Schizosaccharomyces pombe: one gene and its partner. The protein of the gene in region 1 interacts with the protein of each later gene in a pairwise test. Each region holds a gene or a part of one and is shown on either strand. Other genes may lie near its edges. The genes, in order: pxd1 and dna2.

Region 1 (4,177 bases):
GCGATCACATATTTTCCGAAATTCAAAAAGTCTATTTCCTTCCCTCTTCACAAAATGATTCTTTTGACGACGTTGTTGCATGCCTGCGTCAGAAATCAACACCATATCTTTCGTTTATAAAGAAAGCTCGTCATTTAATTCAAGTTTCCCGAGATAAATATAAGTTACCTATAAGCACCGAAGAAATAAAACCCGTAGTTTATTCACAGGTCACTTGGACTGAATTTGAAAAAAAACTATTGCGGTATCTTGTTCAGGAAATGATTGCAAAAAGTATTCAAAGTTTACCAAATACACACTTGTGTCAGGTTTACAAAGAAGTTGGCCTTCAAACTCACGAGAGGGGATTAACTAGTGATCAGTTTGCTAAATTCTTAACGGATATTGGCGTGTGGGCTTCATGGCAGCCCCCGAGGTTGTTTCAACAGGAATACAGCATTGCTGGCCTTGGTACTAATCCTCAGTTAGATGCTGTGTATGAACGTGAGTGTAATCACTTTAAAAAGTTTGTAAAAAATGAATTAAAAGATTCACTTGAATCGCAACGCGTCGATTTAAGGCATCTTAAAGCGTTCGCCTTTGATAGTTCTTCTACGAAAGAGATAGATGATGCGATTTCGGTTGAAGAATTAGGGATGTCTAATTCCTGGCTTCATATCCATGTTGCTAATCCTACGAGTACAGTTGACATTCGCAGTCCTTTAGGCACGTTTGCTGAAAGGAACTTTCAAACTATTTATCATCCCAACAAAATTGTGTATATGCTACCTCTCAATATCACTCAGAAATATTGGAGTTTAGATTCATCTTCTACAGCTCAAAGAGCATTAACTTTTAGTGCTAAAATTTCAAAAAATGGCGATATACTTGATTACAAGGTTCGGCCTAGCTTCATTTCCTCAGTTATCAAATACACACCCCAACAACTGGATAAAGCTTTGCATAGTAATCGATCAATTGCGAAAGACATCGTTTCTGGACCAGTGGATGAGGAAACAAAAGGAGTATCAAATGATCACATGAAAGATATATTAAGAATATATGAACTTTCGAAACAAGCCTGTTTTTCTAGGTTACAAAAGTTTGCGTTTGTTATTGCACAACCCACTCCGACAGTTGAATTGCTGCCTAATAATGTCCCTTATAATCTTGGTGATCTGAATCATCCAGTATACTGGTCTTCCTTCCCTACAATTAGTTTGAACGTTAGTGAAGGGTATAGCTTGGCAGAATCAGTAATATCAGAGTGCATGATATTGGCTGGCCGGGTTTCATCATTATTTTTTCAAGAACATAAATTACCTGGGATTTTTAGGGGCCAGCCTTATCCAATTATGGATGGTGTACGAAGAAAAGCGTTTGAAACTTTGTTAAGTAACAGGTCATCTTGGGGACTCGTTGAAACTAAGTATTCACTTTCTGTAATGCCTTTATTTGAAAGTTCACATTTAGCCTCCACACCTGTTTCCCACTTTTCTTTGGGGCTAAAGGATGGCTATATTCAGTCTACCTCTCCTTTACGCCGGTTTACCGACTTCTTCACTCATCATCAGATTCAGTCGGTATTATTAAAGACTCCAAAAAATACTATACCTGATGGTATTCTTCGTGGAAAACTAAATTTGTACAACCAAAAAGAAAAATCAATTAAAACTATAGGAAGATACATTAATCGTTTCTGGGCCTTAAAATATATAGAGAGACTTCCAAAGGTACAAAAAAATATTTATCATGGATATTTAATGGTTTCAGAACTTTCAACACCTCAGGTCATGTTGGAAGAATTGGGTGTTAAAGCGCATATTGATATTCTCCCGGACGAAGCATTCCGGTTAGCAAATACTCGCCAGGCATTTACAATTAAGGATGTCTTTCCGGAGTCTAATATCCTATTAGTTGCTTTAGCGACCTAACAAACTTATTAAAACTATTTTTATGGATATAATTTTACTTAATTAAATACTCAATCCTGCATTTTATCAATTTACCGAGACTTAACGATATAAATAAATTATGTTTTGGGATTTGATAGTAACCTGTTTCGCCAAAACTCATCTCAAAAACCAACAGGTAGTTTTACTATGAAGTCTCTTTGTTAACCTTGACTCTTGTGATTAAAATATATTTTCTTTTTCTATTTTTTGTAAGACAAGAAGCAAATGTCTTTGGATGCTTATAAATCCATCGACGAAGTGTGCTGCGTTGTTTAAAATCTAAGTTAAGAAAAATGATTGAATCTAAAGGTGAAACAGCACCCTCTTTAAATTTAAACGACGTTAATGTTGAAGAAAATGATGCTGCGCAAAGTTTTGCAGAGAAGGTTCAGCGGTTTCGATACCAGATGAAAGTCCATGCAGCACCGCGACAGAAAACGCTGCATTCTTTCCTGAAAAAGGATAATGCTAATATTCATGACTTTACTAAAGTTGAGAAACCACACATTCGTTCTTCTAAATCGAAGGTTTCTTATAACAGTATTACATCAAGAGTTACCAAATATTTTGAAGAAAAAAATAATTCCGTTGATCAATTGCATTCAGAAAGCTTGACCCCATTAAGCTTTGGCCATACCATTCCCAAGAAAAAGCCGTTACTTATGACGGCTTCTGTTTCAGAAGATTCTAGAGTTCGTGTTAGTAAGAGACAATTTAAGTCCAAAGTTGTTCATCCAGAAATTGCTATTTCTATTGCTAAAAGGCATAAGCCAAAGTTTCCTCTGTCTGATGAACTCATGAATGTCGAACCTGGGTTCCACCACAGCAATATCGGTTGTCAAATTACGCCTTACTTATGGATATCATCATTTAGAACTAATGTCTATTACCTAATTGGAAATGAGGGTGACTTATTGTCCCAACAAGTACCTTCGATAAGTGGGGAGTTAAACATGTTGAGAGGAGTATGCACCCGTATCGATGATGATAATCGCTATGATATTGAACAAGCTGGTTCTTGTTTTGGTATGTCGGTATTTCCAACCTCTGATTCTGGAGAAGAGTCTTTTACCACCCTTGAGTCCGATCCGATAGTTAATTGCGAACACGATGAAAAGAAAGTTGCTGATAATCTCCTGGTTCCTCAAGTAATGTGTTCTTCTAATATTTCAACGTTCTTTCGAAGCCCTGGTGGAAAAAAGTTGTATCATTATTTATGGAAAAATTCAAATGCCCTACGTATTTCCTCAAACGACCTTCTCGAAATACTTTTAAAGCACGGTGTTTATGTATCTTTGGACACTCTGCACTCGTGGCTTCAGGAAAGAAACGTAAATTTTGAAAAGTGAAATATTTATGTTAGACTAAGTATAGCAAACTTTTGGCGAGCTGGTCCCGTAATGATGATTTAATGTACGTTATATATCTAACAAGTCAAGAATATTATTTCAATAATTTTAAATGTATATATTTATGTGATAAGTTAGAACTAAAAATAACGAGTAGATAGCTTGTCTTAATTTTGAAGGACCAAAGCAGAAGGGACTTTATGACTCGAGTTTTAAACGTCTTTGAGAACGTTACTGAGTTCTTCTTGTCTTATTTGTTTTTTTTTATATCTCAATAGCGCTGTATGGTTTATAATATATGCATATAAAGCGCTAATGTTAGGACCTTTTCTTGAGCAGATTTGTCTTTGGAAAATAACGAAATAGTATATTATTATGTTATTTATTTAACGAGCCGGAAATTTTTCATAAAATTTCACTAACGTGCTGCGTAGTTAATCTTTATTATCTAATACTAGGACAAGGAACGCGAGAGCATGTGTTTGTCATTAACTACACACACGAGAAATAGCAATTTATGTGTTTCGCGTCTCTGGCCTACTTATATCTTACAAAGCATTCATTTTTTGAAACCTTCTTTTCTTTCTAAATAACTGCATTTGTAATTGCTCAAATTACCAACCCTGAGCAGTTAAAGTCTTTTTCAAATTTCGTTTCATAGAGAATCAAAAGAATTCAAGGTTGGATCTATTTATATTAAAATTTATTAGAATGTTTGTGTTTGGATAATAATGAAGCCTCGCCCGTACTCTGTTTTCCTCTTTCTTCATATCGTTTTTTACAGCCTTCTTTCAGCAGTGAATGGATCCCCAAGTTTGGATTATTTTGAGACTTGTTCAAACTTTGTACCGAGAGCAGGTATTCCTACCTTTAGCCCATATGCAGTTATCAAGA
Region 2 (7,186 bases), on another chromosome or scaffold:
CATAGCATTCCACAAATCTGTAAAATCTACGGGAAGATCATGACCAACTTGCAGATCTCCGTCCATTTGCAGAAATCTGGTCATGGCACGGTAGAGTGAATAGTGAAAAGCAGAAGCATCTAGGGCATTCGCTTTAGGTTCCCTCAGAAAGTAGTTTTCTTTAAGGGATGATGAATTAAGTGAAGTAAGTATCGACGGAGGACGTTGATCTGGTTGACGACCACGACCGTAATAAATTGAGCCATAACTTGAAGAACCAGTTACTTCACCAGGTATAAAAAAATTCTTTTTATTAAACGTTGCTGCACACCCCCTCACAGAATGAGCCCATGAAGCAAGAAAATCAACTGTAATTTGAGTAGCTTTATCAATACGAAAACCATCCACATCTAACATGGCAATGATCATACATGCGAAGTGTTTTAACTTTTCTGAAACCGATGGCCTCCATTCTCTAAGTCTATCTTGGACAGAAGCAAACTTTGAAAGCTGACGTTCCCAATCAGGATGAGTACCAAAGGCTTCTGTATCGCCATACTGATCGAAATCTGAATCATAACAACCAACATAATCAATCACAACAGGCGCGCCATCTTCACCCCAAAATCTGGGAAGCTCACACTTTGGGTCATATTTATTTGTGAAATTCCAGTCTGGATAAATGACGTTGCTTTTCCACACCGCCTCATGTTCAAATAAAGAAAATGGAGTAGTACTGTTCAGATACTTCCGAAACCCTATAAGATCTCCCAACGTAGAAATTGTAAGGTCCAGAACTAAATAAAACCCTCTACGATGGATTTCTTCTATCGTGTCACGCCATTGTGCAATTGTTCCAGAATGGTGATCGAGGATGGTGTAGTCCAGTGGTGAGTACTGATCAGCACCCCATGGCTGATTTAAAAATGGTGTACCGGCGATGTAGATAACCTTATTCGTTAACGAGCATAAAAGCATAACTCTATCTTACCTTTATTCCCATAATCTCCAAATAATCTAGTGAGTCTTTCAGGCCTATTATATCCCCTCCGTTTCGAAAACCAGTTTCATAAATATCATACTCATAAATAGTATTGTTAGCTTCATTATTTCTAGGATCACCATCTTTCCATTTATCCAAAATAACTGTGTAAAATGGCACTTGCCAATCATCTGGACTGGGATGGTATTGATGGTTTTCCCATTTTCCCCAATAATCTAGAGGATCGGTAGCTGATTGATTTTGGTTTAAATTCCATAAAGATTCTCTTTCATCATATTTAGCAGTAAAGACCAACCTTGGTATACTTAATATCAAATTCAAGACGAGAATATTCTTATTTCGCATCGTTTATGGTATTTCCTCAATTGACGTGAAGAAGCTGCCCTGTTCAAAATAGTTTTATTAAAATTAATGCGATCGTTAATGCTATTATATATGAATTTATCAAGATTTTTCCCGATTCAAATGATGGTTGCTTCTAAATACGAGAAGAGTACAATAACCAATAAGTCAACTTTTTGGAATGTAAACAAACAAACGAACCTAAAAAATTTATATTAATTTTTGCTTACACATGCATTTCTATTTTAAAAATAAATTTTAAAAAAATTAAGAAGGAATTTTATTTTATAATTAAATCGCAGTTTGCGCTTTTGTATGCAAACGGTCATTCAGTTAATAAGCTTATACTTAAGAAGAGTTGAAGCGAATTTCGATACAGATAATATTTATTAATTATGTATTAAGGAAAATCAATAATTTTGCTTTCATCGGACTTGGTTTTAGTTCAATTTACCTGTGAACGACTTCACAAGGTTCATTGTAAAGATTACTGGCACATATTCATGTGTAATTTTATTTAAAATCAATCGAGAACATGACTGCGGAAAACCTAAGGAAATAAATTAACTAGCATTGTTGGCGTTAGGGAACCGAGTATCTATAAAACTGAAACCTCCGACAACCATACTCCAAATATCTATTTTACGAGCATTGCCTATTATTTTGAGAATAAGCGCAGTCGTTAAGGCTTTATTTTAATTTATTTCTATTTATTTTTTCTTTGCATTTACATCGTTGATCATCATTCTTTTTCACGTGTTTTAGTCGTTCTTTTCAAAGCTCATTACCTGGTTGAATTTTAGCCTGGTTATTTGAGTATAATTATAACAAACTTTTTTATTTTTTAATGTTTATTGCCTTCCTTTTTTTGTAAATTAATAATGTTCAACGACCAGTCGAAAACAACTTCATCTGTGAAAGGTATATGTGCCACTACTGACAACAATCATGGTAATTTAAAAAAAACTAATTCAACTCCTTTCAGGAAAAACTATTTGCTAAATGGGAGAACTAAATTGAAGCTGGAAAATTTTGCGTACAATGCATCTACAGAAATTAGTTCACCTAAAATCTCTGAAAAAAAGCATTCTTCATTACCAATTAAACGAAAGAATACTTTTAATGAATCCTCAACATCTTTTTCCCCATTTACTAAAGCTCATAAAGAAATTACTGACGATTTAAAGCCTGACAAATCTTTCACGCGGAAATCTGACTTGAATAGCCAAGACATGCCAGGTATGATTTTTCTTGTATTCAGACGTGTATTTTAACTTTTAGAAGTATGTTTTCAAGAAACTTCGAAGGATTTGTGTCGTAGCTCTTCTACTCAACATTTGCTGGATCATCAAACGACGGACTCAACGATTATAGATATGAAACCAGTGTCAACGAACTCAAAATCTGATGTGTTTACATTATATACGGATGAAACTGTCCTATTACGACGATGTGCTTCAGATAATAAGCCACTGATAAACAATAATTTGTCGAGTTCAAATGTTTCGGAAAACCAGAGTAGAAGCTTCGGATCGTATGATGAAGTAAAAAACCAAGGAAATAACCTGCATAAAGTCCCTAGCTTGGTGTCTATAATTCGTAATGCAAGATCATCTGAGCAATCAAGAATTGCTGCAAATTCCAGTTGTCTTCTCAAAGGATCAGATACCGAAATTGACGAGGATGATTTTGCCTTAGAAGCTGAAGATCTGGCAGCATTAGATTCCCTTGAACGCCAATACTCACAATTACCTAATTCTACAGTAACTGCTTCTGCAAAGGACATAGAAAAGACAGCTAAGGTCAACCATGTGGGAGGTGATTTGCAATCTTATTGTTCAGCAACAAAAGCATCTGATGCTACAATAAATGAAGAACCTGTGAACCTTGCTCTTGATAAAGCTTGTAATTCATTGCCGGATATCAATAGCGACTTTATCGATGATTGGGATGATTCGTGTGATGGATGCACTCCTGGTGAATTGTGCGAGTTTTCCTCCGAATACACAGTATTAGAAGTTCACGAAGACTTCATTTTTCATGAAGGGAATCACTTTCGACAATTAAAGTTGATTTTGGAAGCAAATGATATACTGCATCAGTTATTTTTACGCGGTGATTGGACTGAGACTAGTATTTTTGTAGGGGATTCTATCCGTGTTGAAGCTACATTTGACAAAGATAATACCGCTATCGTTGACAACGATAAAGGACTTATTATCATACATCCGAAAATTTTAATGTCTGCTACGGCAGTGGCCAGCTCTTTTCCTTGTTTGAGGAAAGCCGTAATATCTGACAGGGTTGGCATTTATGGACCTCCTACAAAAGCTATGGTAACTGGAAACATTTTACATGATTTTTTTCAACACGCATTATACAGAGGTATTGATGCCCTTGAAAATGTTGATATCAACCTTGAAACATCAATAAAAACATACATCTCTGATATCTATTTTGCTGATTTGTCGCTCGATGAAATTCGAGAGGAACTTGATGCGAGGCTTCCCCTTCTTAAATCTATTGTTGAAAGATATTTAATAAGTAAAAAAAATGACAACAACAATGAAAGTATTCACATTTCAAGGCTTCTCGATATTGAGGAATCCATATGGTCACCCAGATTTGGATTAAAAGGTAATATCGATGCTACAGTTGAGGTGGTTTTAACTGAAAAACCTGAGTCTTCGTCAACCCTCACACTTCCGTTAGAGCTTAAAACTGGCCGATATGTCGACAATATTAGCCATTTTGCTCAAAGTTTGCTTTATACATTACTCATTTCAGATCGTTATGGTATCAATACTAATCAGGCATTATTATGCTATTTGGAAAATAGTACTATCAAGAATTTGGTTGCAAGTAACTCCCAACTTCGAGGGTTGATCATGACAAGAAATTCTCTTGCACAGCATAACTTTAGGCGCAGCCTTCCTGAAATGATTTCGAACCGAAAAATTTGCGATCACTGCAGTTTAGTTTCTGAATGTTTGTTCTTTCAAAAGATGAGTGATAAAGGAGTAGCTAATAGTAACGGCTTGACTGAGTCATGGAATGAATGGATGCGCGAAGTAAAAGATGAGGATCTTGAATTTTATAAGAAGTGGGAGAAGTTATTAAATCAAGAGGAACGACTCTTACTACTAAAAAGAGGCGATGTGTTGACTTTTGATACAGAAGAGCTAGAAGCTTATGGAAAAACTCTGTATCCTTTATACATTACTAAAGAGGATATCGTTTGTTTAGAAATTGATGACAGGGTTTTTCATTACAAATTCGCTTTTTTAAATGACAATGGTTATCCTCGAAATTTCTTGCACTCAGGCTTCAGCGTTGGTGAACGAGTATTTATTTCTGATGAACATGGACACTGGTCACTAGCTAAAGGACACATAGTCCATATTCAAGATTCATGTATTGAAGTACGAACTCGTCATCGACTTCATATTCCATGGCTAAAGATGCCTAACTTTGATTTCAAAAAAAACCAGGTATTTTTTGGTAACTATGAAGATTCCAAATTGTCATTTATCGGAAGTAACCATACGAGGTACAGAATTGATAAGGACGAATTTTCGAGCGGAATTGCATCAATAAGAGGTACCTTGATGTCTTCTGTATTACCAGATGCTCCCTTAATTATAAGGGACATGATTATCCGTTTGAAGCCTCCAAAATTTTGTAATAGTGCATTAATCGATCCTGAATTTTTGAAATGTTTAAACGAAGATCAAATTACAGCTTTAAAGAAATGCCACGCTGCAGAACATTATAGTTTGATACTCGGAATGCCTGGAACGGGGAAAACCACTACAATTTCTAGCTTAATCAGATCATTGCTTGCCAAAAAGAAGAAAATACTTCTTACTTCTTTTACGCATTTAGCAGTTGATAACATTTTAATTAAACTGAAGGGTTGTGATAGCACAATCGTCCGCTTAGGATCTCCTCATAAAATCCATCCCCTAGTAAAAGAATTTTGTTTGACTGAAGGAACGACGTTTGACGACTTAGCGTCATTAAAACATTTTTACGAAGACCCCCAAATAGTTGCATGCTCTTCTCTAGGGGTATATCAGTAAGTAATTGAAAGCGACGGCAATGAACAAACTACTAACAACATTAGTTCCATTTTCAATAAAAGAAAATTCGATTATTGTATAATTGATGAGGCATCCCAAATACCTCTACCAATTTGCTTAGGCCCTTTGCAGCTTGCTGAAAAATTTGTTTTAGTTGGTGATCATTATCAACTTCCTCCTTTAGTAAAAAATTCAAGAACATCTAAGGATGGTTTGTCGCTCAGTCTATTTAAATTACTATCAGAAAAGCATCCTGAAGCCGTTACCACTTTAAGACTACAATATCGTATGAATGAAGACATTAATTCATTATCTAGTGAACTTATTTATGGCGGCAATTTGGTGTGTGGGTCCAAGACGATATCCCAAAAAAAATTAATTTTGCCAAAAGCTCATCTAAGTGATGGTTTACCCGATTCGTCGTCTAGCCTACATTGGGTCAACAAGTTAATCAATCCTAGTCATTCAGTCATATTTTTTAATACCGATGATATTCTGGGAGTTGAATCAAAAACTAATAATATTCTAGAAAATCATACTGAAGCTTTTTTGATAGAACAAGCAGTTTCCTCCTTCTTGGAACGAGGCGTTAAGCAAAGTTCTATCGGGATAATTTCAATTTACAAAAGTCAGGTGGAGTTGCTTTCTAAGAATCTTAAATCATTCACTGAAATAGAAATTAACACTGTCGATCGTTATCAAGGAAGAGACAAGGACATCATTTTAATATCTTTTGTGAGATCCAACAGTAAAAACTTAGTGAGTATTGAACCAATTATTTACACAACTGCTAACCATTTATTTAGGTTGGAGAATTGCTACGCGATTGGCATCGTTTGAACGTTGCTTTAAGCAGGGCGAAAGTGAAATGTATTATGTTTGGCTCGTTATCTACTCTTTCGTCTTCAAATATAGTTTCTCATTTATTGAAATTATTAGAAAAAAACAAATGGATTTTCACGTTAAATGAGAATGATATAGCAACGAAATTTGACGAGAATAGCTCTCCAATTAAGGATTGTTCTCAGGTTGCAACGACAAATAATGCTAAAGTTATTATTAGAAAGAACCAAAGGTTTTTTAATAGTGACAATTTATGTGAAAAAGCTATTTTACCTCAACTGGAATTTTGATAATCTACTTCAAAAAACTCAATATTTTACTGGATACGATCTTCATAATGAAGAATGTATATATAAATGCCTAAAATAAAATTCATCTGATCCTTGTTCATGAATATAAGTATTAATCCCTCCATGATATATAAACATCGTCAGTACGATATCTTTGAGTAATCGTCGATTCTGCGACGGCACATCGGTCCCCGGTTTTATAAGCCAACAACCCTGCTTGGGCTATCATTATACCATTATCAATACAGAAACGTTCATCTGTAGAAAAAACATCAGCGCCTCTATCCGAACTCATTTCAGCCATCATTTGTTGGAGACGTTCATTGCATCCAACACCTCCAACAATTAAAACAGAATCAGCTCTGATATGTGCCATCGCGCGTTCTGTAATTTCAACTAGCATTGCAAAGCCAGTTTCCTGTAAAGAGTAACAAAGATCTTGCTTTGTAACAGAACTCGGATTTTTTGGGTCTAATAGCTCTGTAGCTGCCGCTTCAACCCCTGACAACAATCCGGAAAATGAACAATCCATACCTTTAACAGTATAGGGTAACTCTATAAATCTTTTGCCTCTAGGAAAAAATTAGTATAAAACATCAAAGTGAGTCTTACTTTTTTGCTTCTTGCATAATATTGTAACCAGGTGA

The links.
Region 2: the proteins of pxd1 (region 1) and dna2 interact in a two-hybrid assay, tested with the Schizosaccharomyces pombe proteins (one study listed by BioGRID).

The regions. Positions count from the first base shown.
Region 1 is NC_003421.2:1,284,123-1,288,299, forward strand, and holds pxd1 (protein Pdx1), read left to right. Parts: upstream 1-2,043; 5' UTR 2,044-2,227; coding exon 2,228-3,283; 3' UTR 3,284-3,409; downstream 3,410-4,177. Other genes in the region: rpm1 (3' ssRNA-specific 3'-to-5' exonuclease), read left to right, coding at 1-1,913; trp1322 (TRP-like ion channel protein), read left to right, coding at 4,015-4,177.
Region 2 is NC_003423.3:3,591,712-3,598,897, reverse strand, and holds dna2 (DNA replication endonuclease-helicase Dna2), read left to right. Parts: upstream 1-1,941; 5' UTR 1,942-2,205; coding exon 2,206-2,563; exon of another isoform or gene 2,564-2,608; coding exon 2,609-5,402; intron 5,403-5,450; coding exon 5,451-6,165; exon of another isoform or gene 6,166-6,187; intron 6,188-6,212; coding exon 6,213-6,539; 3' UTR 6,540-6,607; downstream 6,608-7,186. Other genes in the region: cell wall alpha-1,3-glucan synthase Mok13, read right to left, coding at 1-930, 971-1,327; kae1 (EKC/KEOPS complex N(6)-L-threonylcarbamoyladenine synthase subunit), read right to left, coding at 6,652-7,111, 7,152-7,186. UniProt on the Schizosaccharomyces pombe protein: Key enzyme involved in DNA replication and DNA repair.